Rhinolophus ferrumequinum: one gene and its partner. The protein of the gene in region 2 purifies or fractionates together with the protein of the main gene of each other region. This does not show direct contact. Links are inferred from orthologs where the notes say so. Each region holds a gene or a part of one and is shown on either strand. Other genes may lie near its edges.

Region 1 (3,749 bases), on a different chromosome or scaffold from region 2:
TGTACTGATTCATTTCATCCTTGTAACAATATGATTGAGTATTGCTATTTTTTTCATTTTGTAGATGAGAAAACTAAAGAAAAAGTCAGAAAGATGGGGAAAACTGGGGGAAGAATAGGTTTTGGGGATATCAGGCAATGAGGAGCTGTTGTCAGTTTTTGAATAGGGACTAGATGTGAATCAAAGTTAAGATTTTTCTGGTGGCATCTTCTTGACAAAATCCACCTCTGTCTGCTGGGAGTTGTACCTAGAACCAGGTTTTCAATCAGCCCCACATTCCCTTATGATTTGCTTAATTTGGGTGGGCCATAATTATAGAATTACCCATCAGTGTGGTTAGCAATTTGGTGGTGAAGTTTGGGGAACAGGTCAAGGCGAGAGATAGAGATGTTAGAGTCATGTGTATGAAAGATAATTGAGCCCATGGTATTGCTAAAGGGATAGTCTAAAGAAAATGTGTGAGTATAGAACTTAAAAAATATATCTTGCTAGTCTCTCCCTCAGATACCATTCTATATCTCTTCTCTTTTCAGCCATACTTTCTTATGAAGTTATTTGTTACTCCTGACTTCATTTCCACACCTCTCATTCATCCTCAAACTTCTGCAGTGTGGCTTTTGCCTTCATTTCTCTACTGATGTTCTCAGCAATGACATCAAAGACCTTTGTGTTGCTAAATCCTTGGACACTTTTCAGCCCTTCCTTATCTCTATGGCAACTGATACTGACTAGTCACTTACACATTTATCCATTCAACAAATTTTGAGGAGGGAGGCTAGGCCTCAGAGATAGAAGAGTGAACATTGCTATAGTTCCTACTTTCATGGAACTCTAAAAGCATCCTGAAACATAACTGCTTGCTTTTCCTTCTACGTCTCTGACTACTCCTCTCAGTCCCTTTGAAATTTTGCTTTTTTCAGCTTTTGCCCCAGGCTCTCTCACTCTCCACATTAAAAAAAAAAAAAAAAGACTTGATTTTTGAGTAGTTGTTAGGTTCACAGCAAAATTGAGGGGAAGGTACCAAGATTTCTAGGTTGTGGTTAACAAAAGGAAGTTTTGCGTAAGCACACCTATTACATGTTTTACGTATTTTATCCCCGTTAAGCTTCACAAATCCAAGAGAGATACAGCCTTTGAGACTTCCTTTCACAGATACGTAAAGGTTAAGGAGATGTTAAGTAACTTTCCCAGCCTCATTCAGGGCAGAGATTTGAACTCAGATCTGATACCATCTCAGCCTTTTTCCTTGCACCACTTTCCTCTAGTCCCACTGCCCGTGTATAGTCTTGGGGTGGATCACCATTGTCCACACTCCTGAACTGGCCTGGGAAATTAGCTCAGTTGTTTCTTCTTTAAGAAAGGAACAGGATATTTCACCCTCTCTATGCGTAAGGATTTTAGAGAACTGTGCGAGGAAATAAATTCAGAGCATGTCAGCTTGTTTAATATATCCCTTGGGCTAGACAACCATCTGAGACGCGGGTGTCAGGTCTCTTCCAGACCAAGCGGAATCTGTGCCCCAGACTGCAGAGAGCACCGACTTTGGGTTCTCTCCCGCGCGCGGGGATGACGTCGCGCGGCGAGGTTCTCTAACGTCAGAGTTTCCTGTCCACCATCTTTGTCCCTGGCAAAGTAAGTTTTGCGCAGTGGCTGAGACCTGGAAAAGGAGTCGTGACGTGCAGGAAACCATTACAACACCACTCGGGCAGTGCTCTCTGGCTGCTGCCGCCACCCCCGCCCTTGCCTCCGGTGAGTTCAAGCTGGCCAACTTTGGGGTGTGTCCCTCCTTGATGGGGCGGGGGGATCTCTAGGATGGGTTGCAGACCGGCAGAGGAGAGAACATCCTAGGAAGGTGACCGTTGAGTAAGGAGTGAGCCGTCGGGTGTGACCGTTGTGAGGAAGAGGGTTGGAGAAAGGCACTCCACCGCTGTGGCGGGGTGCGGGAATCCTCGGGTACGGCAGCTGGGATCTGGGCATTGGGGGAGCGGACCGAAAGGATGGATATGTTCGAAGTCGGGGGTTAGGAAGGCCGGAGGTCAGGGGTGTGGCCGGTAGAGGCTGGAGGCCGAGGAGAGGACCTACCCTCGCTGCTTGGCGTCTTTCATTGAGACACTGGGACGTGTCCAGCTAGCAAAAGGGAAAAGGGATTCCCCCAAAGGTTTGTCCATTCATGGGCAAACCTCGCCCGTCTCCTGTAATTTGAGGTAAAGAGACCTCTCTCCCACCTCGTAATGGAGGAGCAAATCCCAAGAATCTTGAGCACCTGAGAAAAGAACAGGAATTCCTGACAGGGGAAGGGAAGAAAAGCTTCAAGAGCTGACCCAGTGTGAAAGAGGGAGAAGCAAGTGGGGATAAATCTTAATCCGGAATTTTTTCTTTCTGGATTTAGGATTTAGCACGAATGATCTGGTTTGAGAAAAGCTTGTAGATTAAGCCAGAGGCAAAGAAACTGGAACTTCCTGTTATTTCCAAATTCTTTGAATCCAAGGAATGTATTTATGCTGTTTGTTTTCAAAACAGTCTTCTATTTGGGGGACAGGCTTTTACTGAACTCACTTGCACGTTTGATTATGAAGCACTGAATAAAATGTGGCTGCTTCATTAAACTTTGACTTTTGAAAGGAAGTGTTTTTAAAATACCAAACTGTGATAATCGGTGTAAATTTTTTTTAAAAGAAAGTAGAGAAAACGCAGTCAGTTTAGAAAAGGCAGCATGACAAAGAAGGTGGTCTCAGTGAGGAACAATTTAAATTATTAATAACCTTCCTGGTGTACTTCTCTTGGTTAGCCTCAGGGTACACTTACAAAGTAATAATAGAAAGCAGCAGATGAACGAGATGCAGCTGGACAAGACGGCATGTAACACGTTCCAATGATGACTAAGCATAGTGGTAAGGTGAGAACCGTTTGCAGGTATCTTAACAGTTTAAACAATTAAGGAAGCAAAAGGATAGTGTGTTCTGCAAACAGCCTCACTGAAAATTGGGTGGTAAAATTAATATAAAGCTAACATTCTGTGAATGAAGACTCAAGAAAGTTCAGTTCTTCCACTTATTTTTTTCCTTAAACAGATTCATATTTTAAAATATTACATTTTAGGCACGGGTTTGAGGCAAGCTGAACAAGGAATGAATAAGATAGGACATGTTCTCCTTTTTTCCTCCTAGGTTTAAGTTTTCCAGAGTTTGTTGGTATTTCAGTTAAAAATTGGATGTAAAATTTTTGAGCTCTTACTGTATAATATTAATACATTACTTTGTAGTTTTATATTTAAATGGAAATCACAGGTGTGTCTGTTGTAATTAGGTGTCTTTTGTAATTTCTTAGGAGCTAAATGATACCTTAAAATACTATTGTTACTGCATTATCACTGAAATATCTGACTAGCACCTCTCACCCTTGTAATAAAAGATGGCTGGAGTGACCTTTCTGCTCTATAATTTGGTTAACTCTTTGGCCAGTTTTTCCATGTAAATACCAGACTGTCTAAAGCTCAACTTTAAGTGAAAAGAAAGGATTTAGTGGCCTCACCAACTCTAATTTAGCTGTCATTTCCCAGAGAGCCATTTGAAATTAAGATGCTATTAATGTTTTTCTGGCCTTATTCTCTTTAGGGGGACTGGAAGGAGGAAGAAATAGAAAGAGACAAGGGACTTTCACAATCTATCTTTAGTAGAAACTAGGTTATGTTAAATCTAGATGTATAATCCTGTACTAGGAGACCTTCTCTGAAGTGCAGTGACATCACA
Region 2 (3,749 bases):
CTCCTGGTGGGTCAAATGGCGACTGCTGTGATAATGGTTACAGAGGTGTGGGTTTGATAGAGTTGCGGTTTATTGTTGTGGGAACCCACCATGACTGAGAAAGGGAGACCAATTCTGGGTAAAAAACATTTATTGAGGCTTCCTTGGTGCCAGACTACACTGTGAGGGGAATATAGTAGTCAGTCGGCATCCTGTCCTCAAGGATTTCACAGTCTGGTGGGGTACAGAAAAGCACGCAACTACCTTTTAGAAACAAGGCATACCAAGTATAATAAGGAACATATCAGAGCAACTAAGACATGGGGTGGGATTTCCTAGAAGGCTTCTTTAAGTAGGGAGCGTATAAGCCAAACCTTTAAAGCGGAGGCCTTCAAGTAACTGGTTGGTTTTTCTAATTGAAGATGGCAGCATGAGAAAGTGTAGGATGTTTTATGTTTAATATAGGCAGGAACCATGGGCTTTATTAAGTACATACTATTTGCTAGGGTCTGAGGATCTAGAAGTACATCAGAAACAGTACTTGTCCTCAAGGAACTCTCAGTCTAGAGGGGTAGACAGATGTAAACAGTCACCAGGGTGATGATGACTTCATAAGGTAGAGAAAAAAGGTTAAAAAGAAAAGCAGGTGTAAGTCTGACTTGGGGAGGCTAGCAGATGCTTTGCAAAGGAGTTGATACTTGAGTTGTGTCATGAGAAAGTAGGAGGAGTTTGCCAGGTGGACTATGGGAGGTTTTAGGAGGGCTGTAGGCAACTGAATAAGTCCCAGTGCTCTTTCATTGAACAGTCTAAGGATGGCAGGCAGCAAGCATGCAAGAAAAGTATTCCTTCCCCCTCTCTTCTAGGTTTTGACTCCTGGAGGGAATGACTTAAGTTTTCTTTTTCAATATCACACCCTAATAGCAGATGGTTAAATGAAAGGTTTTGGAGTCGGACCTGAATCCTATTCTAGCTATATAATCAGGTGTATGACCTTTGGTATGACACTAGTGTTTCAGTTTCCTCATTTATACGAGTACAACTTATGTCTCAATTCCTTCATTAATACAATTCAAAAATAAAGCACCTAGCACAGATTCTGGCATATATAAAGTACTGTTACTATTTTCTATCATTATCTTACTTAGTCCTCACAAGCAGCCTGGACTTTGGGTATAATTTCCCCCTTTTTTCAGAAGCAGAAACTTAGAGTAGGTAGGTGACCCGCCTAAAATTCACAGCCCGTCCGCCTTAATTTCGTATCCGCGCCGGGTTTTTCCAGGCCACTCCGGATTCAAGCTCCGGCCGGGCAGCTTAAAATCCAGCGCCAGGATTTGGGTACCACCGCGGCCTGCGCGGGGCGGGCGGGGCAGGCGAGAGGAGGGAAGTTGTCGAAGTTAGGGGAGACGCCCGCCAGCCCGCCCGCCCGGGCCTCGCCTCCGGCCGCTCCCTCCGCCTCCTCCCCGCCCCGAGCCCCCGTCCGCCCGTCCTTCCTTCCCCTCCCGTGCATGATGGAAACACCATGGCTGCGGCGGCCCAGCTCTCCCTGACACAGGTAACACCACCCGCCCATCCGCCGGGCTCGATCGGTCGGTTTCCCCGGCCGGCCCCCTCCCCCACCGCCCTGTGGTTCACCGACCCGGGCAGTTTCTCTCGGCCCCGGGAGAGGTGGCCGATAGTGAGAGCGAGAGCGTGTGCGCCGGAGGGAGGGCGCCATCCCCAGTCCGGTGCTCCGCCGCGGCAGCCGCGACCCCACCCGGGGTGGGTCGGCGCCCCTGGCCCCACTCCACGCGGCGCCCCAGCTAAGTGCACCGTGCCCCCTCCCCGCCTTAGTCGGTGCTGGGTCCCTCTCCCCCCACTCAGCTTTCCCCCACCCAGGAAGTTTCCTCCTTCCAGGCCAGACCGTCCCAGGTGAGCTCCTGTTGAGCTCGCGCGGATCGCCCAGGGCAGCCCTCGGCCCGCTCGAGGCTCACCCTGTGGGTTAGGCAGCGCGCTTCCCCCAGTTAGAGTCACCTTCCCAAGTCGGACGCTCAAGGCATCTGGGCTCGCTAAACCGGCCTTTTCCCCCTGGATTCCAACGAAAGCCCTCCCTTCCCCAACAGTTTTCTCCAGTCAGTCTCTGTTCCAAATGTCTTATCCGACCCGCGTGCTTACCCTGCTAGCCCCTTCCTGAGTTCAGCCTCTTCCCCTCTTGATCAGGTTTCGTACTGGGTCAGACCCCCGGTTAGTCCTTTCCTCCTCACGTCTGTTACCATTCCTATCTCCTGTCCAAGCGGGTAGCAGGGAAACATCCTTTAACAGGTGTGGTGGTTCCACCAGTCTTGGTGCTGGGAACGGCCATAGAGAACACCTGTCCTGGGGGAATTTTCACCAATACCGGTTCTCAGGGTCTTTCCTCTTGCTTTTCTGCTTCCTTCAGAGCCCCAGTCCTTGTGCTTCCCAGAAAACTTCTCAACATCACTGACTCTGGCAGCCTCATTCTTCCCTCTCTGTAAAGAAAGTCAGTTGTAATCTTGCCATGATGTCCAGGATAATGAGGTGACATGCACCTGTCAGTACCTTCCCACTCCTTTGACCAAAACTTATCCCGGTCTCACCTTATCAGCATGTTGTCTCCAGAGCTGGTGGCCAGGTCGGTTCCCCTTGGCACCCACCCCAACCTTCCTGCCTGCCTTTTAGTATCTCCCTGCCACCTTGTAGTCTCCTTGGCCTGGATTTTTCGTGCTTCATAGGCGTTAACACTGGGATAGGGTATACGTTTGGGCTGGAGAGTTTTCATTGCTGGGATCAAGAGGTTTTGGGATGTTTTGCTTACCCCACTGTAAGATAGACTGAGTGAAAAGTTGTTCTCCCCTGGAACCAGGAATCTCACATAAACGTACCTGGAGTAAAATAACCCCAGTTTGCAAGAATTACTACTCATAAGTGAATGTTTGTTTCCTAGTTTGTTTGGTGTTGCTTATCCTATTTTGACAAGCAGATAATGGGGAAGAATCCTTGGAATGTGGTGACTTAGTTTTGGTGGTGAATCTCTTTGGAGGGATCCTCCTGACACTCAAATTTGAAGAATGGCAAGATTGACTTTTGGGTGTTCACTCTTTTATGAGTCTAGTTAGTCACTTGCATTAAACAAGATCCTGTTGGCAGGCTGGTGTTCTCTGGCTCAGTTGGTCAATTCGGGTAGGAGTTTTTCCCCTCTTGAAGATTTTGTTCCCTCGAAGGCCTTTGTAGGTTTACTTCTTAGCTGTATGCCTGCCTACTTTATTCTCTCCCTGGGGAATACAATGCTTTTAGTTTCTATTTACTAGCATTCATCTCTGAAGGTTTTCTTCAGGCTCTGTCAGTTTTATAGACATATAGACAGTTAAATAATTGAAATATGTCCTTATGGTTACATATTTAAATATTAACATGTATACAGAGTACATACTGAAGCAGGAGTATTATACTTCATTGTCTCAAATGCTAGGACATACATTGGTGGTTCATTTATATTGACAATTCAAATAAGTCAATTTAGAATATTTTGATTTTAAGACATTAAAAGGAAGTAAGATATATTGTAAAGGCACGGGAAAAAGAACTTTTCCCAAGTGTTAATATACCCTAATATGTGCCTCCTTGTTATTTTAAAACTGCTGATTTGTGTTTTTTTAATTTAATTTTTTAAGTGCTGGAGGTACTAAACTGGGATAACAATGCAACCTAGTTTCACATTCAGTATAGATATGTTTATGTCAACCCCTCCCCCCAAAATATCTCTGTCTTCTCTC

Evidence for each region. The genes of interacting proteins can lie anywhere in the genome.
Region 1: the proteins of EPS15 (region 2) and AP2B1 purify together in Homo sapiens (affinity purification with mass spectrometry; 3 studies listed by BioGRID and IntAct, with this or other methods). This does not show direct contact. The link is inferred for Rhinolophus ferrumequinum from reciprocal best matches to the Homo sapiens genes EPS15 and AP2B1.

Annotation. Positions count from the first base shown.
Region 1 is NC_046304.1:23,151,340-23,155,088, forward strand, and holds the start of AP2B1 (AP-2 complex subunit beta), read left to right. Parts: upstream 1-1,540; 5' UTR 1,541-1,749; intron 1,750-1,803; exon of another isoform or gene 1,804-1,953; intron 1,954-2,805; exon of another isoform or gene 2,806-2,896; intron 2,897-3,749. UniProt on the Homo sapiens protein: Component of the adaptor protein complex 2 (AP-2). Adaptor protein complexes function in protein transport via transport vesicles in different membrane traffic pathways.
Region 2 is NC_046292.1:36,802,059-36,805,807, reverse strand, and holds the start of EPS15 (epidermal growth factor receptor substrate 15), read left to right. Parts: upstream 1-1,403; 5' UTR 1,404-1,498; coding exon 1,499-1,531; intron 1,532-3,749. UniProt on the Homo sapiens protein: Involved in cell growth regulation. May be involved in the regulation of mitogenic signals and control of cell proliferation. Involved in the internalization of ligand-inducible receptors of the receptor tyrosine kinase (RTK) type, in particular EGFR.